Linked DNA regions of Saccharomyces cerevisiae S288C. The gene in region 2 interacts genetically with the main gene of each other region. Each region holds a gene or a part of one and is shown on either strand. Other genes may lie near its edges.

Region 1 (4,985 bases), on a different chromosome or scaffold from region 2:
AAGCTTATTACTCTCAATTCAGATGATCTTGTTCCTTTCCAACATATAAAGCATTTTCTTCCATAGAGTTACGTACTATTCCAGGAGGCTTTTCGGACTCATACCATATAGAAAACTATTTTTATGCTTCTTCATTTACTTCTACTTGTTTATGTTTATTTGTAAAATTACATTATTTAATTTCTTGAAAGTAAAAAACTTGAATTTCTGAAATAAATAAAAACTAGAGAAAAATTAACGATGAGGCATGCGACGGAAATCAATATTGAAACTTCTCAAAGCTGAACCACTGAAAGGGTTCTTTAGGACAATTTTCATTCCCTTAATCAACAAAAAATGACTAAAACCTACATATTCTTCTTAGAAAAAATACATACGCAAAACAAGATAGAAGAGCAACTGTTGATACGATAGCAAGGGTGACAGAGACTATTCAATTATATGTCTTTTATTTTCATTCTTATCACCACTTTTCCGTTTTCAACTTCGTTGACCGCAAATTAAATCTGTTCTTCTGGTGGTTGATTCAGTAATTCTTCGATTATTGGACAAAGCTCTAGTGGCCTAGTCATGCATGAAAACCTTTTAACCACCTTCCCATTTCGGTCTACCACAAACTTTTCAAAATTCCATTTTATCATTTTTATTCCAGACTTCCCGCTTACTGAATTCTTTAAGAACTTGTAGACGGGATCTTGCTTTTGCCCGTTGCAACGGATCTTATGTAGAATAGGGAAGGTTACACCATATTTATCTTGACAGAACTTATTAATCTCTTTATCCTTCTCGAACTCTTGATTTCCGAATTGACCACAGGGAAAGGCCACAATCACTAGACCATGTGATTTGTATTTTTCGTACAAGTACTCTAATTCCTTGTATTGAGGTGTGAACGCACAATGAGATGCTACATTGACTATCAAAACCACTTTGTTACGCAGGGAGTTGAAGGGGAATGGATTTCCGTTTTCATCTATTGGTGAAAAAGAATAAAATTCTTGCATCGTTACTTATAAATATTGTGTTTCTCCGCTTATATTCCTTATACGGGTTCACAATCAGAGAACCTCGCCGTGCACAATATCACCTACATGACTAAAATATATTTGTACATTACTGTGTTATATAATCACTTAATATTGTTCACCATAAGCAATCTCTGTAGTAGAGGTGAGCCCCGGCTTTAAGTTCTCTTAGATGTGGCGAACAAGGGATGAATCGCTTACCCTATAGAATTAGGGAACAGAAGGGGAAAGCAAATACGGAAAATTTTCCACATGAAGACGGTAGTGGGGTATGTCAAGGGGATACTAATGTATAATTAATATATATGTGTGTATCTACATTATTTGGTGTTGTTTTATTGGGTGATGGATCGAAAGGTGGATTCTATCAAGTCCTTCAACTCCTTATAGGATATAATAATACAGTTTAACTCATCGGGCGTTACCAACATTAACTTTTCTTGAATACCAGCGTCTAATTTGTTCAAACATCTTAGGACATGAGTTAAATCCATTATTGGTTTCCCATTCGAATCCACTTGATGGAATACGTAGTCATAAAATAGTATAATGGGGAATTTAGTCCCAGATTCGGACCAATTTATGTCTATTCTTGATTCGATTCTACCAAAAATGCAATTTAGCTTGTTGACCAGCCTAAATAATCTGCCATTTTCTAGTTCTCTTGATAAGACAGACTCCATGTATTCTGTATAGGTTTGTGACGATTCCAGGACCATGAACATCTTATCATAAAAGTGACTAGTAAGATCATGAATGCTCTTTTTGGAATCGCCGTTGTCTGATATCAGATACTTGAGTACATCCTTGAACTTATCATCGATCTGTCTCATGTCATCAATTGATTGAGGGGTTATTTCCTCCAATCGATATTCTTTAGGGGCAGTGTTGTTATTAGAGTTTTCAATATTAATGGATAGGTTAAATAATAGCTCTCCTAAATATTTGTAGTCTAGCTGTTGTTGTCCCTCTATGGTACTTCCGCCGGAAGATACTACGGTATCAGTATCATCATTGAACAAAAGGTCCATAAAATTGCAGTGTGATAACTTGATTCTCCCTGGGTCCCCAGTAATCAAAACTTTTCTCCAGTTTAATGTATTGCCAATACTCAAGTTTTGTGAATGGATAGAGTTTATTACATTGGTGAGTTGAACTAAATATATCCATAAATAATTATTCGTTATTGGAAACTTAGGGAAATTAACAAAGTGGTAATCATACAAAGATAGCGAGTTTGGGTAGTAGTCAAAGACCAAACAAATAGACAGATCACCAAATTTAGTAGTTTGAAAAATGTCCCTAAACTTTATCAAATTTGTACAATTAATTTTTGACCATATCTGATATATTTTGGATATTTTGTTTGGATTCATTGACTTATCGATGTTAGGAAGCCTCTTCAAAACGTAGGCTTTACCGTCATAATTGGAAAAAACTTTGAAGAGCGTAGTTTTATTTAAAAAATCGTTATTATTGAAGTTCAATGGAACCAAATTAAAATAATCTTGTACAATACTTGGTATAACTTTACCTGAAGAGGGGAAAACCTGCAAAATCGATAAGTTTTTCTTGGTTAAATCTTCTCTAATATTGTTTGGAATGAAAAGCTGATCTGCAGACCTTTCATTAGGCTTTAATAATGATTTCAATGATGATGGCTGTTCAGGTGCATATAGGTGATACTGTAGAAGACTGTGAGGAGGCGGATAAATACGTGGGTACTTAAGATTACTACTCTCTATGGGTGGCGGTTGCATAGGAGGTGGCACATTATTAGCCATACTCATATTGTTACTATTATCATCAGTGGCGTTTATATTTATGCCACCAGAATTTGCAATGGAGGGAAATGGAAAAGAATGTGCATTTGCATTAGTGTGAATTGAGGAGGTTGAAGACGGAGTGAAAATGGGGGCATTGAAGGGGTCGTAATTGGAACTCGAAGCGGTAGTTGGTATTGATATGCTTATATTACTATTATTGTTATTGTTATTCACTAACGAGCTATTAACTATCGGATTAATCATCGGATTAACTGTAGAAGCAGTAGCAGAGGTAGCTGCCATGGCGATATTGCCAGTAGCATTTGTAGCAGCGGAGGTGGTATTCGTCACAGTGGTTAAGGAGTCACTACCGACTGTCATCGGAGTGAAACTTGCGGATACTTTAGCATTGAACTTAGGAACTGATGTCATGGTCGGAGTTGTAGCCTCACCCACATCTATTGGAGGAGGAACGTCATTTATGGTAGTAGCGGTAGTGTTATCGCTGTGTTTGAAAGGGCAACCTTCTTTCTCCTTTTTGCAGTAGCCATAAATAGTGATATTTCTGCACGGAATATCCTTCGCCCAATCAGGATTGATTTTGTCCATGGCGTAAGATACGTCTGACTAGTCTTTTAGGCTTACCTATCATCGAAACAGTGCTCCCGCCATTGTTATTATTGCTCTTTTAATTCATAAACCAAATAATTTAGCAGTTTATTTTAAGGTTACCCTGTAAAGGTCTGATATGTAGGGGAGGGCATATAATCATTTTAATATATATGTATATATTCTTACATATATATATAATATCGCCGTAACTTATAGCGTAAACTATATAAAATACGTCTTAGTCTATAAGCTATCACGGATAGCGTCTTGGACGTCTTTGTACACATCTTCGACGGATCTGTCGCAACGAACACGGACGACTTTCGATTTGGTTTCAAAGTACTCGATGACGGGCATACTAGTCTCCTTGAAAGTGTTAAATCTCTTCTTAATGGACTCAATGTTGTCATCGCTTCTACCACTGGTCTTGCCACGCTCCAATAGTCTCTCTAACATGATATCTTCAGGGCAGTCAAAGAACAGGATGAATTTGCTTTCAACGATGTCTCTTTCAAAGGAAATGGCTTGATCCATCTTCCTAGGAAATCCGTCAATTAAGAACTTATGCTTGTTCGCCTTGACGTTATCGGAAATAGCGTTGCGTAAAAGCGCCAAAGTAATCTCTTGAGGGACAATCTGGCCCTCTTTGATGCAGTTCTTGATCAATTCCCCATATTGGGAACCTGCTCTGCCCTGCTCAGCACGTAGAAGGTCTCCGGCTGACAAATGGACAAATGAATAGTCCTTAACTAGTTTTTCACACTGAGTACCCTTGCCTGCACCGGGTCCTCCTAGAACGAAGATCACGGAAACTTGGTCAGGCGAGAAAGCTGGCTGTGATGTAGTGGCAGCTGTCATTTGTCTTATTCAAGAAATTCAACTGGTTCGTTCTTTTGATAGTTTACCGAAATAACTGATGTCACGAGTGCTAAAGTTCCTACGAGTACCAACAATTTGCCTTTGTGTTTACCCTTGCTTTGACTTTTGTTAGCGCGTGGTACGTTTACGTTGGTCTTCGAAGGTGCTGTATTGTGGAAAGTTGGTTTTTTCGAAGAATAAAATCTCAGTATAAACCTGTAGCGTGGATTCATAATATAACTAAGCTAACATAAAAACGGGAGAGGGTGTGTGCGACTAAAGGCAAAGACAGGAATGCATCGCTTTAAAAGATCACCATAACTACTTAAAAGTTTCGTTAACGTGGTGAAAAAGAAAAGAAAAAGAAAAGTGAAAAAAATAAACCTAGGGTTGAAAATATAATCAGTTAGGTGTCATGATATTGATACATTTATTTCTATAGGTCTGAGAGTACTAACTTAGGGTATATGAGGGGTGTTAAGTTGGGATGATGACGCATTAATTAAGAGTTCATTATATGAGGATATTGTATACAATGCAAGAATAGCGCCCCAATCCCGGCCAGGTATAACGTGCAAGCATGAATAAAGAAGAATTATTGGGTTTTCTACTAGATGACAGTATTGATAGCCAAAAAAGATGCGTCACGGATCAGCAGGCCTACTCTAATTGGTTAAAGAATGATAATGATGAACGTACGGCCCATGAGGAAAGCTCTTCACAA
Region 2 (6,397 bases):
TGCGCTAGGAAAATTACTTCGCTTTGAATCGGATATTGCTCTAGCATCTCTTTGGTAATATACGGACTGTAATCTTCAATCTTATCTTCTATAAATGTCAAAGAGATATACGCGATCCTCAAAATTAACAGTAAGATACACAGATTCTCCATTTTATTTCGTATAAGGGTTGTGCCCATCGATAGTCGTACCTCTCCTAATTCATTATACTGTACTGTTGTGTGAATTGATTCCTCCAACATTTCCTTGCTGGCGAAAGGGATTAGGTGGAAAATATGCTCAAAGAAATGAGAGAGGTACTGTTCAATGATTGCCTTGGGAGGGAGCGTTTTCTCGATTTCATTGATGTAGCCTTTCAACAAATCAGAATAGTCGTTTTCGGTGGGGCATGTATCCTCTAAATATGACGATTCCCTGTTACTGTATAATAAAGAAATTACTTTATTTACCGCAATCTGTTCTTCAGGGTTCTTTCTCTGTAGTAGCCTGTCCGTAAACTCGTTAATGGATTTTCTTTGTGATTCGTATTTTGAGTTTTTCAATAGAACCTCTCTCATTTTTACAACGTTATTCTTTACGCATGGCTGTGTCCTCGACCTACTAATATCTGCATTTAAAGCAGGAATCATGGAGTTTCTGGAACAACTTAGAAGCACGGAGGCAATTAATGTCTTCAGAAAGGTATCTTGAAATATTAAGTACTTCTCAGATAAAGGGTTGATTTCTCTTTTCATCACTTTGGTCATAATCAATCTGGGATGAGTCTTATAAAGACTTATTGGAAAGCTATTTTCCTGCAAGCTTTTACATGTCCTTCTAGCAGCTAATTCTTCAGTCGGCCTTTTCAATGCAGTGTAGAAGTCTTTCTTTTCTTGAGTCAAATCCACGGTTTTATTTCTCCAGTAACGAATCTCCTTTTTCAGTCTCGCTATGGTGGCATCCTTATTCGGATTCCTAGGGGCCGCCTGTCTGGCGACATCATATATACAAAAGAGGTTTTGTTTAGTACATCTGCCACATCTAGGTTTTTCCTGGTCACACTTCGTCTTTGCTTTTCTACAAGCTTGGCAAACAAAAGAAAGTCTATTCCTTTTTTTACCTACTCTATTCATTGCCGGTGATGATTCGTCTGTAAAGTACATCTTTTATCGAAGAAATTTTGTTCAGCAAGATCAGAAAGTGATATTTCATCCGCTCTATACGTTTCAGTAGATTTTCTTTATCTGACCTCTATTAAGTCCTAACAACGCTTTATGTTTTCTTCGTTGGAGATACTCCGGAGATTATATTTAGTTCCGAGATGGTCTTACAACCTTTCAAATTCCAAAATCAGAAGAAATTTTGCAGGAAGGCAAATCCTACCGGACGTATTAGTCACGATTTTATTTATTCACATATACAGATATTCACAGTTCGAATTTTGTTTACAAAGGTCAATCTTATTGATCTGCGGCTTTTGAATACCGTTGCATTCAAGAACGGCTTTCTTCATTTCGTGCAGTTCCGGGACCGATTCGTAAACCGCATCATCATCCATTTCACCCTTCAAAAAGGATCGTCTTTGATCATCAATAGGTTTGTATCTTGTATCAGGGTGTTTGTAGTATATTGCCATCGTAAAGCATATCAATATGAAAATGAAGAGATACAAAGAAAACGCTGCATTTAGAAAAAAGAAAATTAGTCCCATAAAAGAAGACACAGCTATGGGCTGCTGAAATAAGTTACTGAAAAATAAGAAAAAAAATGCGTTCACTAAATTCAGTGAATGGATACTAATATTGAAGAAGTTGGTTGTTTTATCCATGTAAGGTTGCATCCAGCACAAAAGGATGAGATAGATAGCTTCATTCAAAAAGATACCAATAGATTGAGATTTTCCGTGCGCTTGTAGAGAACCCACTAGTATAGACCTAATAAGCATGTGTGCAGAGGTCGCCATTAACCACCAGACTTTTGTAGACTTAAATTGAGAGGAAAGAAAGCCGAACTTGTTTAAGAATTTCGAGCTACTGAAGAGTAAATAGCTTGGCTGGCCAAATATTTTCTTAGACTTGATCATCTTCCTCCATATTCTTACGCTTGCGGATGATAACAAGACTGTAATCAAAATGAAAACAACGATTGCCTCCACTAAGGTAGCTGCTGAGTCTGTTTGAGTGAACTCCCAAAGTGCTAAAAGAGATATCTCAGAATAAATTATGAACACCGCTCGATATAGTGTCCCCTGTAAAAGTGCACTCCAATGTGTGTGGAAGTGTAAATATCTAATTGTCTTAACTTTAAACTTCTGAAGTACTTTCAAAAATGTTTTGAAGATAATAAACGCCAATATTATCATACAAATGAATATGATAAAGAAGGAAAATCCCGTTAAAAAGAAATTTGATATCTCAATTCCAGCTTTGTAAGACACCCTTTTAATACCTCTTAATACTAAAATTTTTGACAGATAGTCATTTGAATTTCTCAAATTTGAAGTGTATAATAAATCATTTTTTTGGGAACTTTCAATACCATTTAAATTACTTGACGCTGATATGATTTTACTGTTCAAGGATCTTTTTTGAACACTGATCGATAAAACTTCTTTATTGCGGTATACAACGGTGGGGGACCCAGATGTTGCGACAACATACCAGTCAAATAACCGCTGCATAAAATTTATCCTTATTATTCCCATTGACCATTGGAAATTTTGAGTCCAAGCGGCGACAATAGGCGGTAAAAATGATACACTAATCATAGCTAAAATAGCCAAATTTTGGAAATATAAAAGTAGCGATATTGAATAAGACGCCAGTCTTGTTGAAGTAACCGTATAACCTTGCAAAGAATAAACCACTGAAAACATAATTCCGGAAATTGTCAATATCACTAGATTCCACGATAAATACTCTGTTTGGACTGTTCTACCATTTGATAACATCACTTGTACACATGCTAGAGGTTTGGTAAATTCTTTATCAATAGTGGAGTATGCTGTCACCACAATATATGCGTCTAAGTCAGGTATATTATATGTTATGCTTGGTATTTGGCTAGCTACCGCGGCCTCAACATAATAACTTCCCATGAGTTCTATATTTCCCGGCTTCAACGGACATAATAAATTATCTTGGATTCCACATAGATCAAAAACTTTGGTATAAACATTGAGACCATATGCAATCAATTCTGCCTTGATGGTTATGTTTTCGCTCATAATTGTTTGTGCTTCAACATTAAAGAATAGAGTATTATTTCTCGGGAAAAAAGCAGCTTCGAAATACGATGCAGAAAACTGTGAGTCTTTAGCACAAGTCAACAGAGCCGAAGTCCTTAGATATTCTTTAGTATATGCATCAAATGGTACTGGGAATAGAGTCGATGCGTTGTTCAGTAGTGTAAAAGAGTTAGAAACCTGGAAAGTAGAGCTGTTAATGGAAATAGCGTGTATTTGTCGGAAGATTGCTAGCAAAACAAAAATCCGAGATAAAGAGAAGACTTTAATGGGAAGCATACTTATTCTCTTTACATCTATAAATCAGAGAGGTTAAATATTATTTAAAATAGCATTACGACTTTGCTTCATCATCCTTCCAAAATATTGACACTGCATCATTTTTTAAATGTGTCAGTAATTCGGGCACAAAAATATAAATGGACCGCCATGAACTAAAGCTGTCGTCGATATGGATCGCTCCATAGCAGCATTATAAAAATTAAAAATGCATCAATACCATGCTACAGTAATAACAAAATACAGCATGGATTACCACTACATATTCATCATGTCATGCATTATAGTTGTAACATATGCTGAACACCCATTCATCACGTGTAATTGGACATCCGTGGAGTTCCAAAAGGAGTATAAACGCAAATAGTAAAGCTAAGATATAAGTAGTGTCTAAGTAAATGACTTCTTTGTAAGCGTACAGCTAAAGTTTACCGATGAGTTACGATAAGAAGGCAGATGTCACATCCTTAGATGAAGATTTGAGACAACTAAGAGAAAGCAAATTTTCACCGGAAGCAATTCAAAATATCAAAATATGGGTATATAAATCTGTCCTAAAAGAGATAGCTCCTCCTGGAGACTTATTGGAATGCTTGAAAGATGGAACAGTCCTATGTAAGCTGGCAAATATTTTATATGAAGCAGACACAGGAGAAGCTAACCATATTAGTTGGAAGAGCTCTAAAATGCCATTTGTTCAAATGGATCAAATTTCCCAATTTTTATCATTTTCGAGAAAATATGGTGTGCCTGAAGATGAACTGTTTCAGACAATTGATCTTTTTGAGAAAAAGGATCCTGCCATTGTTTTCCAAACGTTGAAGTCACTATCTCGTTACGCCAACAAAAAACATACAGATAGATTTCCAGTTCTAGGACCACAACTGTCAACAAAGAAGCCAAGACCCCCGGTTAAGTCTAAACCAAAACATCTACAAGATGGTACTGGATGGAGCACTTTTGAATACGGTTATATGAAAGGTGCATCTCAGGCTACTGAAGGAGTGGTGTTAGGACAACGGAGAGATATAGTTTAGAGAATTATTATTAACACTTTCTCTGGCAGAAATTGATAAATAAACATTTAAGAACCCTATATACGCAACCAAAGTTCCTTTGATATATTTTAGTTTTCCATCAAAGTTTTCCTACATAAACACTAAGGTGGCTAGAGACGCGTAACAAAAGTTAACGTTACCGGTAAAAATGTGATTATACAAATCAATCTCACAGAACGGTGTGGAAACAAAGTAGTTGAAGGATTTCAACTATGCGAATCAACAGTGAGCTAGCGAACAAGTTTTCTGCCTCAACGGTGCACTTAGAACATATCACAACTGCTTTAAGTTGTTTAACACCTTTTGGTTCTAAAGACGATGTGCTTATATTCATTGATGCTGATGGGCTGTCATTTGTCAGGGAGAATAATCATGTGATAAAAATCCAACTACTGTTATCTCGGGAGCTATTTATGTCTTATTCGTATAGAAATGAAACTGAGGATCACATGAAACTTTGTGTAAAAATAAATCATATCTTAGATAGCGTTAGCGTGATGAACAGGAATTCGGATGACATTGTTGAGTGTACTTTATCTTATGATGGACATGGATCACCATTTGTACTAATATTTGAAGACTCGTTCATTTCTGAGAGAGTGGAGTACTCTACCTACTTAATTAAGGATTTTGATACTAATGGACTAGAACTCGATAGAGAAAGGATAAGCTTTGAGGCAATTATTAAGGGCGAAGCCCTTCATTCAGCCTTAAAGGATCTAAAAGAAATCGGATGCAAAGAGTGCTATGTATATGCAAAGACCGAGGCGAATGATGAGAATGTATTTGCCCTGATATCTAAATCTCAGCTAGGATTTTCTAAAATAAAATTACCCAGTAACAGATCCATACTAGAGAAGTTACAAGTATTTGACGGAGATTCCACAACAGTAATAGATGGTTTTGCTGTAATTGGGTTCTTCGATTTCACCTCGTTTGATAAAATCAGAAAGAGTACTAAAATTGCAAGCAAAGTCCTTTTCAGGATGGATGTTCATGGCGTATTGAGTGTAAATATTCTAAGTCAAACAGACGATGTCATTATCACTGATACTACAAGACCTTCAAATAATCGACCAGGTAGTATTCGCCAACTGCAGCTACCCAAGGATTATCCCGGTATAGTAATTGAGGTTTGCATGCTAGAAAAAGAATCCATAGATGAGGCAGCACAGACAGAAATAGAACTCCTGATGGAGACTAATGAACTTGGCAATCGTAATAGTTTTAAAAAATCAACTATAAGAAAAAGATATGGTACAGATAAAGGCAATGAAACTTCAAATGACAACTTGCTGCAATTGAATGGGAAAAAAATTAAACTACCATCTGAAGAAGAAAACAATAAAAACAGGGAAAGTGAGGATGAAGAGAATCACTGCAAGTATCCAACAAAGGATATTCCTATATTTTTTTAAGTCAATATCCAGCATCGCAGAAAACGCAGAACTTCATTCAGCATTTGGTAATTTTATAACATATAACTTACAATTAAATAAAAGTTTAACTATATATTATTATGTGATCTAACTCTAGAAAAAGTACTAATGAACATCACACCGTTTATTGTTGGGAGAAGTGTTCCATGATCATGGACAATTCATCAGTTTCAGCACCCCAGTTCTTGACAACAACAACGGAGGCACCGACAACCTTTCTGGCGTTACCTTCACGGTCGATCTTACCCAAACCAGCCCATTCACCTAATTGCTTAGCATCAGCAACCTTGATCAATGGAACCTTGTTTTCTGGGTCGTTAGCCAAACCTTCAACCAACTTGATAATGTTAGCTTCAGTAACAGAGCTGACCAAAACAACCAATAAAGCTTCACCTCTG
Region 3 (5,106 bases), on a different chromosome or scaffold from region 2:
TTAGTCTTCTTTGTAATACTTGTCTTTTGATATTTCTGCACTAAATGAATGGACGATTTCTATATTTTTGGGTTTCTTTCCAATTGGACACAAAAATCAAAGTCGCAAAGCAGATTAGTCCTAAGCTTGATGACTGATCTCTGGTTTAGTCTGATTTAAACTATTAATTGGCTGAATTAGGAACTAATATGACAAATTCCAGTCTATTTTAAAGGTGATAAATTCTTTGCCTGCTAGAGGTTTTGCTCGTTGCATTTTTCCGATGCTCCTTCTAATTATTTGAAACCAACCCTATTTACGTTTTGCCTCTTTCGGCAATCAAATTGCTAACGCAAAAATCGCATGCACTTCACATTTTTCACTTTCATGAAAGAGGACATAAAGGAAGTGAAGGAAAGCTAACAAAGAACCGCAGAAAAAGAACGACACATTCTTTGTGGATATTCTAGAAATATGTAGTATGTAGGGTACTTTTTACCAATATTATGAATGTCAAATTATCATATAACCCTTCTATGAGTTATTTTAAGAGACGTTTTTCTATGCTGTAAAAAGTCATCAAATTCATTGTCCAGATTAACATCAGAAACATCCAGTATTCGGAATTCAAGTTCAACTAACGTTTCCTCACTCTGGTTTCTTTGCATGCCACGTTTCATTACATGGTACTCTGTGTAAGCGTTGGAATTATGTATTATGCGCTTGTGGAATAATATGGTATCGTGGATGAACCGATTAACAGTGTCTATCAAGATATTGGCATCCTTACTGTCCCGTACTATTGTTGATGCAATAGTAACATACCCGTGGAGGATATCAAGCATGAAATTACCCCGACTGACCAGATCACCCAAAAGCTTTTGCTGATTCATGTTATTGCAATCCACCGTCTGATATGAATGGTACAAGTGAATGAGATTTTCATAAACTTTAATGATGCCTTTGAATTTTGCGTTCATATCATCGACCAGTGGTGTTGGTAATTGCTTTGGATCATTCAAAAACCGCAAGGAGTTGGTTTTTTGTCTTATGTATATCAAAGGAAACAAAGCAGAGTGTCCAACACCCAATGAAGATGGGTAACTTCTCACTTTCGAATCTTTATCTGATGCTTCGTTGACTATCTTGTTCCCTTTAAATATCCTTGTAAAACACTTTGGATCGTCCGGATACATAAAACTTTCAATTTGAATGTCCACGAATTCTAAAAGGCACTTGCATACGAGATCTTTTAAGGCATTAACAATGTAAACTTTCCCTTGATCGCTTTCCACATCTTTTATTGAAATTGGCTGCATTGTAAGATATTGTTACAGATCTTCTTATTTCAGCAACGCCAATACTATTAATCTGTGTTTATGCCACCTGAGCCAGTCTGGCACATATCTGCAGTAACAGAAAAGTTTCCTACTCATGGCGCTATTTTATATATATCACTTACCTTTTCTTTTTATAAAAAAATGTTACGTGTATTATGGCATATATTGTTGGTGTACGGAAAACACGCGGGGAAGAGAAAGTATAGAAAAGTGATGACAGAAACAAATGACTCATTATATATGAAAAGAAATAACTGCAGCGGTGAATATGCCACACTGGCATTATCAACAAGGAGCTGTTCATTTAATATGCAACAGAATGATTGGGTAACTATGGAAGGACTATTTCCTTTTGTGATGGTTTTGTGTCATTTGGAAACGAAGCCAATGAAAATAGGTATCCAGCTTATACTACAAGTCCCTTTCATGGGTTTAGGAATTCACAAAGAGAATAAAGAATTCTACTTGATATTATGAAATTTTTTACATTTGTTCTATCAGTTAGTAAAATAAATTTTATTGCGCTGTCATTTCTTGCGTTGCGGTTTCTACGACGTTCGAAGACAGTTAGAATCTTGTGCGAAAATGTTTCGAACTATGCCATCTTTTAAACCCGATACATATTCCAGCGAAATGGCTACTATCATCCTTTATACTAGCAGAAAATAAAACTGAAATAACGGGTTTATCACAGTTTACATGAGTTGCCATTAGAAACGAAACGGGCGTGAAACCGTAAATTGATGTAGATATTTACATTCGTTTGCACCTCTGGCGAATTTAAGGAAACACAAACGATCTTTCAGGTAATAATGCAAGGTAGAGTGAAAAATCTACTAATTGGACCTTGACTTGGCATCTATATGTATAAAAATATTAGTAGTTATACACAACTTCTAGTATATTACCTGGCCTGTTCTTGGTGATACTATATTCTAGTTACTAATTATCAAAACTGACGATAACTAGGAGCCGTTTTAAAGATACAGCTTTCGGGGAGACAAGTAAGAATTTAATTCTTGGATATTTCAAGATGAAGCGGTGGCTCAATGGTAGAGCTTTCGACTCCAATTAAATCTTGGAAATTCCACGGAATAAGATTGCAATCGAAGGGTTGCAGGTTCAATTCCTGTCCGTTTCATTTTTTATACTGCAAGTGATAATTTAAGGATGGTTAAATGAAGGAAACGGTGTACTAAATGTGCAGGGGCGTCTCTGCTGTCGCGTTTACCGATTGCTTTTTATTGTACCTTTTCTATTCTTTTTTTTTTCGGTTCAATTCTTGTAAGTCCACTGACGGACAAGAAATGTTGACAGCGGTAATAATGTCTTGATATTGCTAAGCGGACCTATGTTATTATGTTCAGCAGCATTTATGTAGAACTTTAGCTGATCTAATGATCGCTAATGTTATTCTTGTATGAAATGCCTAGACAATTAGTATAAAATTTGTGTGAGGTTACGTATGCTAATTGCAATGCAAAGCGATATTATCATATTTTATGTTAATTATTCTAATCTCATACGTATATTCTATCCTATCTCGTAATGGTTACTAGCCAAATTCGCCCGTATGAATATGTTCTTTTTATATCAGTTCATATTCCTTTTGATTTAAATGATACTTCTTTTTTTGCAGCCTGAATAGGTGCAACAGTTGCCATCCATTACATTAGTGTTTTGATGAGCACGAAACAATGTCATAGGCTTATCTGCCCCCTAGGCACAACGTTAATTTAACATTTATGACTGAATGGAAACCTGAGGAAGCTATATCGATTGGATAACGGGATCATTATATCCTGAGATAAATGCACTAATGTCGAAGTTCAAAATTTTCTGTAAGAAACTGCTGTAGTTAACAAACTAAACTATATTTCTGACCCGAAGGTATTGTCTTAAAGCTGGCGTGTTTCATAAAGTAAATATTGGTAAAGAAGTTGCCTGCATACAGAGTATTTTCAAAGATACATATTCAATTTAGAACAAGAAATGCAGATTATATTCATCTCTCATGAATGATGTACAATTGTATTGTAACAAGGCTGGGACTTTACAGAGAAAAATAATTCTATAATTAGGAAGCGACCCAATTCAAAGACTAAAAAGTAATTTGAAATGGGGTAAAATGGAATAGAGAGGTTCTGTGGAATGTCATATTATGTAATGTTGTAAAGTTAATGGTGTATATTTTGAGAAGCTATTGGCAGAAGGATTAGCGTTGCTAAGAAAATGTTGGATCACTATCGCAGAGGGTTTAAAGAGAATGATTGGAAAAAAATATCTAATTCACTGAAGCAGAATGGGAACTACTATTTAAAAACATGACGTATATACTAGTAATCTTTCAGTCGATCTGGTTGGAAGTACTATAGCAGAACGAGGTACAAAAGAGTGCACATTTATCTTTCTGTTTTATCTTTTTTTTTTGTTCTTCGAGATTGTCTAACAAAACAAAATAAAAGTATACGGACTAAAAGTAAATAAAAAAATATCTTTCATAATATAAAGATATGCATATATACAAATAGCGGGGAAGTATTTTAAACTTTATAGGCAAAAATCTCTTTAAAAAGCTTTGCACAATGAACAGACGCACCCATTCTTGCACACAAAAGAAAAATGCCACTAAATTTTCTATGTAACGAGTATGTTTCCTCTGGTGGCGGACATAGTCTTTCATTCAACATTAACCCGATATTACCTCTAATCCTGTCTGAGACTGTTTGATCCTTGAAATCGAAAGATTTATCTACATCACCCCTAAAAGGTTCACCAAGTGTAAGTACACTATCGACGTGCGCGTCTTTCATGGACTGCGATTCTAAGCCTGTGAGATAGCCCAGTTGTACAGACATTTCGTACGCCCCTTTCCTATCTCTCAATGTGGCGTAAGTTAAAAGTTTTCTATATTTTAGAATAAAATCTTCTGCAAAAGGTCTGGAGGCACCGAAATCCAATAATTCAATTTTCTTTGTCCTACCGTTATAGAGGAAATTTGCCCAATTAGGATCCGTTTGCATATACTTGAAAGTGGCAATTTCTTCCAGACATAGTCTCATGATATTCTCCGAAATAAAATTTTTGGTTTCTTGTGATGCCTTGGGCAATTTCATTATTTCAGTTCCCTCCATACGTGTCATAGTTATAATATTATCGGTTGTATATTCAGGAAACACATGAGGAACCTCAAACGCTGGGTCATCCTTTAGCAACGCCTCAAACTTTTGTAGAGCTCTAGCCTCTCTGTTGTAATCACATTCCCATTTTAACTCAGTTCTAGCGTTGGCAATTGTCTTATCCAAAAATAATCCCTTCGGTAATAAACTTGAGGCTGTAAGTAACATTAGTAAACTATTCAAATCCGAATCAATGGATTCTTTAACCCCAGGATATTGAATTTTGACAACCACTCTTTGACCACTGGGCAACTCTGCCGCATGTACCTGTCCGATACTAGCAGCTGCCATAGGTATCTTGTCAAATTTGGAAAACTTTGTCTTCCAATTAGCACCTAATTCCTTGGCCATAACCTTTTCCAATTGCCTTTGAGGCATATGATTTGCACTATTCTGTACCCTTGATAAAATTTCGTATAATTCCTTTGGCAACACTTTCTCATCCTGAAAAGACAATAGTTGCCCTATTTTAAGGGCAACACCTCTCATTTTAGAAAATTTATTGGTAATTCTGTCAATATTCGAATCTGATAGAATCAAAGATTTCCAAGTGGGAGAATTGCCCTTTGCAACTTCCGATATGCCTTTTGCTGCGGCATTCATGCCCA
Region 4 (6,034 bases), on a different chromosome or scaffold from region 2:
GATATCTGTGATATTTCAAGCCTCACTTGCTAAAGATGAGTTCCGTGGATCTTTGGTGAAAAGAACAATAAGAGGTTGTCATATTCTTGGGAAGGGGCTTATCATGCAGCAAAAGACTTATGCGTATATATAGTTTTCATAATAAAGGGATAAGATACCTTGCCTGTTTCATTCTATAATAATAAACCCTGTAAAAGTATGTAATAGACAGTCAGCACTTTTCACCACTTCGAACATGGCAAAAGACGGCTTCGAGTTATATAGATACACTCCGGAATTAGGTGCGAGTATACTTTTTACGGTACTTTTTGCAGTATCAGGGGTAGCATTTGTAATTTTACTATTCCATTATTCTGTGAAAAGTAAAAGGAGAGTTGGCTCTCTTATGAAGTCCCAACCCGTATTGCGGTATTACGGTACGGTAAACTTAGCAGGAGCGTACATTCCCTTTATATTTGGGTGTTTTGTTGAGTGTGTGGGCTTTGCGTTTAGATGTAAATCAAGCAAAGACACCACACTACTAAACCCCTATATTATTCAAACGGTTTTCTTGCTGGTGTCTCCAACATTATATGCTGCCAGTATTTACATGATTTTTGGTAGAATGGCTACTCTGCTGTTCGCAGAAAACTTAATGATCATGCCCGCTAGATTCAATACTACAATATTTGTGATTGGCGATGTAGGCAGTCTTCTATTACAAGCAATTGGTGGTGCTATGATGTCTAAAGTGACAAGTGCATCTTCTGGTTCTCATCTCGTTACAGCTGGTTTGTTCATTCAAATTGCTTTTTTTGGTCTCTTCATTATAAATGAGGTTTTGTTCATTTTCAAGATGAGCAAAAAACCAACCAATGTATCGGTAAGGTATGGTAGTTGGAAATACCTAAACATTGCTTTATTGGTGAACAGTTTCCTGATTTTAATTAGGTCGATCGTCAGAGCTGTTGAATTTATTCAGGGTTATGACGGAGAAATTGCCTCGCACGAGTGGTATCTTTATATTTTTGATGGTTTACCAATGTTTTTACTCGTATTAATTTTTATTGTGGCGTTCCCACTAATTAACATTTTTAGAATACATGAAGAGTCTATTCAAGCGCAACAATCAGCAAGATTTGACGGCACCGACTATCCTGACGTTGAGGTGACGTCTATCGAAGAAGATCTCGCTTCAAAGAGCGAATAAACTGCTTTCTATATTTACATGTGGGAAATGTGGTTTTATTCTGTATTTGAGCTAGTGAAGTGCTGCTAGTATAAATTTAAGTAATCTTTCATATATTGCCAGTGGGGTTCTAGCACTTTAGTGAGAGTATTTGGATAACTGATACAACAATGTAGTCCGTTACCAGGAGTAGAGATTACGCTTAGTGAGAAAATTGAAGATATTCCTTGCGGCTCGTTGAATGTAGCATCCACTATATAAAACGGTAAACTGGTGTTGCATGCATCTTTAAATGTTTGAAATCCTAAGTTTGTTACTTCAAATGTGGAAGAAGGTCCGTTATTCAAGCTAATTTTATCTTCTATGTATTGTTGAGAAGAAATAACCTCCAATAACTTTACTTCGTTTACTTTATCTATTATTTTATCCTCGGAACTGCTTCTTATGGCCCTTTGAATTTGAGAAGCGATATCCCATATTCCACGGTTTTGATGTAGTTTATGGTTGAATTCTATGACCGCAATAAAATTTCCCACGGCGAGCTTATCATCTGAAGGTAATTTCAAGACTCGTTCAAAAGGCTTTCTAATATTCATTGGTAATTCAATTTTCAAAAATGATCCGGTATACTCATGTGCAGCTATTTTTTCGAAACTGGTGCAGACCAGGGCACCTAAAAGGGAAGTCAACGAAGTATTATTGGCCTTGCATTCTTGTAAAATGTCGTTGAGATGGGTCGGCGATAATCGAAACTCCCATTGATGGTTCGTGTTTTTAACTTTGTATTTTTGAGTTCCATCGCTCGGTTTATCATCCAGCAGGTCTTTTGGAAATGAGTAGTTGGCAAATTGGATTAAATTTCTATTGTTTTTTACGACTGTTTGTGGAAACCAATAATGTAGTCTACTGACCAATTGTCGCACTATATGCCAATTCCAAGGTATGGGCCAATCTCCGTATAGTGGGGCTGACATTATTTTTTCAGTTGATGAATTTAATGATGGTGAATATATTGTTTCATCAATTTCAACCGGCTGTTGCATCTGTAGGCCTTCCATAAACGTTTCCCACACATGAATAGCGGACATCCCATCCATGAGAACATGATCTGTCAGCAATAGCATTTGATTTTGATTAGGGAGGATCAGAATTTTCCATAAAGGTTTATTCTCGTTGTATGAAAAGTTATACCTTTGAAAGATGTGGTTAATTTCGGTTTCCCCTAACTGGTCCCAATCGTGGCGGTATTCTACTAGATCGCAAAATTTCAGTGGCTCAAGAATGTTTTGTAGGAAGTTTTCCTTTTTCAATTCATCATAGAATACATTACAAGTCAAACGTTCATGTTGGATTACAGTATACTTAAGAGCCGCTATCAGTTGACTTTTTTTGGGCAATTCGTTGAGTTTGATTCCGACATAAAAACATGAATGCAAATTTAGTCTGCTTCTATGGAAAAAGTAACTTTCAATAGCAGAAAGTTTAAGATTCATTCTTGCGCTTTTTCCTTTTCGTAAAAATATCTGTAGATTGTTCGTTTTGACAGCATTTATAGTTGTCCTCTTTACCTCTGCTCCGCACAAGTTGAGTTAAAAGAAAGAATATAAAGCAAAAACCTAAAAAAAAAGATATGAAGCAGGAGCCAAAAAATGCTGTATTATCTATTTCAACTATTATACAAAAGTTTAAAAATATAGGTAAATCTTCAAGACTGCGCTATCTATTTGAATAAAAACGAATAAGTATTATCATATCAAATGAGTGCTTGTGTGGTTAGGATATATGTAAAGAGGAAGAGGAAAGGGGGAGGTGATACCGAGGCCAACGATCGTTACTCAACCTTGATATCGGACAATCCCAGGTCTTCATTTTGCTCTTTAGTTCTTTCATAATCTTCGATAGTCATGTTTGGATCCGGATCTGGGGCGTAGACATTTTGTATGTACGACCCGGCCAATGGATCTTCCATAATGACTGTGAACTTGACTTTCCCAGCGATGGCCTCCTTTAGCTTGGCAAAAAATTCTACCCAGCGGGCTTTCGTTGCTTCGTCCATGGAATCCGAAGTTTGAGTGAAAATACGGGATTCTAGTTCTTCGTAGACTTGTCTTAGTAAACCTTCCAAAGTGGTGAATCTACCACCCAATGTACCTTCTTGAATATCAAGATGTAATTCAGGAATTACCATACTACAGGTCTCAGATTTCAAAATATCACGGGACAAGTCAGCTGCATCGTCACAGTATAAAGTAATCCTTCTTCCTTTGTCAGGGATGGCACCACCGGTCTTCACCTCATTAGACTTATAACCACAATGATCGCAGACCGTCGACATGATAATGACTTCTTTAAAGTGTGGGATATTTACTGGCTTCATATGAGTTTCACACTCTTGGGTACACGATGGACAAGAAGCTCTGAATGTTTGCACCTCGTTGTTAAAGTTTTCGATGTCGGTGGCGTCTGACAAAAACTGTGGGTTTGCTGAGCCAACTTTGACAGATTCAGAAGGATTTCTTTCACGGTTGGCCAATTGTTTTAATTGTTCTTGGCGACGTTGCTCCAACTGGTCTCTAGTAATAATGCCAACTTGAACGTTTTGTTCGTCGGTTCTCACGTACTGGGTATGAGACCATTTGTGTTGAGGTTCACCGGGTTTGTATTCGATCCAGGAATTTCCCGCAGGATCATCCAAAATAAATGTAATCGGAATAGTGTTGGGTTCACAATTGATGTAGGATTTAACTTTCTGTATGAAGTCATCGATCTTCTTGTAAAGAGCTTCGTCTATAGATTTTCTCATTTCCTGGTCTTGCGACAGATCGTCGATCATCTCGGATAACAAACCTTCAACTGTCGTCAATTGACCTCTCTTAGCAGGAATCTCAATGTCTAGCTCGACAAACTTACAAGTGGCAGTTTCTGACTTAATAACTTGCCTGTTAAAATCTTCACGGCACTCCACTTTCAAAACGTAACGAGAGCCCTTCTCTTGAATTTGAGAAGCGGGTTGGATCTCACAGTTCTTAAACCCACAGTGAGGACAGTCGAATGACATAATAATTATTTCTCTGAAATAAGGGATGGAAGTCAGAAGAAGTCTGGTTGTACCGTTCTTTCCACAATTCATACAAAGAGACTCTATCTCTTGCACTGGATGGCCCATGGCGTCCTGTGCGCCGGTTAACTTGACGCCGTCATTAGCTTTGTTCTGTTCGGCTATGCTTTCATCTTCGACCTCTGCAGCAGCTTCTCCTACTGGTTTAAACAAATCTTCCTTTTGTTCGCTCATTATTTTCTATCCTATTTCTTAACGGTATAGGTATAATATGTATCTCTGTGTATATATGCGACTAGCTATTGCTAACGATGCGAACCTACCCGATAACGCTATGATTTCCTTTGCGTTGAACATCATAGCATTATAAATGTGCATCTCATCGCTGAAAAATTTTCGTCAACTATAAACTTTTAGGATATTCTAGCCCTGATGGGGCTAGAATATTCTAGAAAACTCCAGAGGGTTTCGGCACAATTTATTGTAGGGTTAGTAAGGGCTTTTTTATCAAGGTGAAAAATTCACTCGATGCCTTTTTTTTTTTTTCTCGAATAGATAGATATGCAAGAAATGTAATGCTATGCAGTGCAAAACAGATGTGTAAGTGTTCTAGGATGAATTGTAATGAGAGTTGGTTTTATTTTCATTTTGCGTTTTCGTTTTCCGTCTTTTAGCTTTTGTCCAACTAACTTGTAGTATAAGCTGTCTGTAAGAATAAAACGGAAATAGAGCCAGTATGCCCAGGGATCCATTGATTGGTATTGTGGGTAAGCCATCTTCAGGGAAATCCACCACATTAAATTCTTTGACGGACGCAGGTGCGGCGGTAGGAGCATTTCCCTTTACCACGATCGAGCCAAATCAGGCAACCGGCTACTTGCAAGTTGAGTGTGCTTGCTCCAGATTTGGCAAGGAAGATCTTTGTAAACCTAACTACGGGTGGTGTAGCAAGGGTAAGAGGCATATCCCCATCAAACTGTTGGATGTGGCAGGGCTTGTGCCTGGAGCGCATTCCGGCAGAGGGCTTGGAAATAAATTCTTGGATGATTTAAGACACGCAGATGCTCTTATTCATGTGGTGGACGTTAGTGGAACCACAGATGCAGAGGGGAAGAACACAAGAGGATATGATCCATTGAACGATATAGAATGGCTGCAAGACGAAATCAGGCTTTGGGTTGAGGGGAACCTGAAGAAAAGATGGGGGTCTATTGTGCGTAAACATACAGCAACGAAATCTAGCATAGTGGACACACTTCAAGCGCAATTCGGTGGGTACGGTTCACATGCGCCCATGATCCAAAAAGCCCTGGACAGGTTGAAGGGACTACCACCTTTGGAAAAATGGGATGACGAATGGATCACTCGAGTGGTCAAGTCCTTTATGATGGAGAAATTTCCAACTGTGTTGGCACTCAACAAGATTGACCACCCTGACGCCGATAAAAATGTTTCTAAAATCATGCTAAAGTATCCTGACACCAAAGCTGTACTGACCAGTGCAGTGACGGAAGTTTTTTTGAGGAAATTGAAAAAGCAAGGTTTTATATTATACGAGGAGGGCACGGAATTTGTTGACACATTTGAGGACGAGCCAGACAAACTAAAGCCACTGGACGACAAGATCCTTAACAGAATTGAAAATATCAGAGATTTGGTCCTGTATAGATTCGGATCTACGGGTGTTGTTCAGGTTCTGCAAGCAGCAACGGACATCCTTGGTCTAATACCGGTGTACACTGTGAAGAACATCCAGACTTTTACGGGTGGCAACGGAACCAACGTATTTAGAGATTGTTTTTTGGTCA

What was found.
Region 1: mutations in YOR365C (region 2) and GPX1 together harm fitness more than expected from each alone (negative genetic interaction), as found in Saccharomyces cerevisiae (one large-scale study listed by BioGRID).
Region 3: mutations in YOR365C (region 2) and ARO5 together harm fitness more than expected from each alone (negative genetic interaction), as found in Saccharomyces cerevisiae (one large-scale study listed by BioGRID).
Region 4: mutations in YOR365C (region 2) and SLI1 together harm fitness more than expected from each alone (negative genetic interaction), as found in Saccharomyces cerevisiae (one large-scale study listed by BioGRID).

What each region holds. Positions count from the first base shown.
Region 1 is NC_001143.9:388,880-393,864, forward strand, and holds GPX1 (glutathione peroxidase GPX1), read right to left. Parts: upstream 1,005-4,985; coding exon 501-1,004; downstream 1-500. Other genes in the region: TCD2 (tRNA threonylcarbamoyladenosine dehydratase), read left to right, coding at 1-26; PAN-complex poly(A)-binding subunit PAN3, read right to left, coding at 1,361-3,400; URA6 (bifunctional uridylate/adenylate kinase), read right to left, coding at 3,647-4,261; MIN9 (Min9p), read right to left, coding at 4,267-4,494; SKA1 (Ska1p), read left to right, coding at 4,842-4,985. UniProt on the Saccharomyces cerevisiae protein: Glutathione peroxidase-like protein that protects cells from phospholipid hydroperoxides and nonphospholipid peroxides during oxidative stress. Has peroxidase activity using thioredoxin or glutathione as a reducing power. Involved in peroxisome formation.
Region 2 is NC_001147.6:1,022,071-1,028,467, forward strand, and holds YOR365C (putative flavin adenine dinucleotide transporter), read right to left. Parts: upstream 3,503-6,397; coding exon 1,391-3,502; downstream 1-1,390. Other genes in the region: oleate-activated transcription factor PIP2, read right to left, coding at 1-1,142; SCP1 (Scp1p), read left to right, coding at 3,937-4,539; RAD17 (Rad17p), read left to right, coding at 4,773-5,978; 40S ribosomal protein eS12 RPS12, read right to left, coding at 6,124-6,397.
Region 3 is NC_001139.9:284,704-289,809, reverse strand, and holds ARO5 (Aro5p), read right to left. Parts: upstream 1,299-5,106; coding exon 501-1,298; downstream 1-500. Other genes in the region: ubiquitin-protein transferase activating protein CDC20, read right to left, coding at 1-1; YGL118C (uncharacterized protein), read left to right, coding at 1,359-1,796; protein kinase COQ8, read right to left, coding at 3,863-5,106.
Region 4 is NC_001139.9:913,667-919,700, reverse strand, and holds SLI1 (N-acetyltransferase), read right to left. Parts: upstream 2,662-6,034; coding exon 1,255-2,661; downstream 1-1,254. Other genes in the region: RTA1 (Rta1p), read left to right, coding at 236-1,189; zinc finger-containing protein ZPR1, read right to left, coding at 3,000-4,460; YGR210C (uncharacterized protein), read left to right, coding at 4,963-6,034. UniProt on the Saccharomyces cerevisiae protein: Confers resistance to the sphingolipid biosynthesis inhibitor drug myriocin (ISP-1). Inactivates ISP-1 by converting it into N-acetyl-myriocin. Cooperates with YPK1 in mediating resistance to myriocin.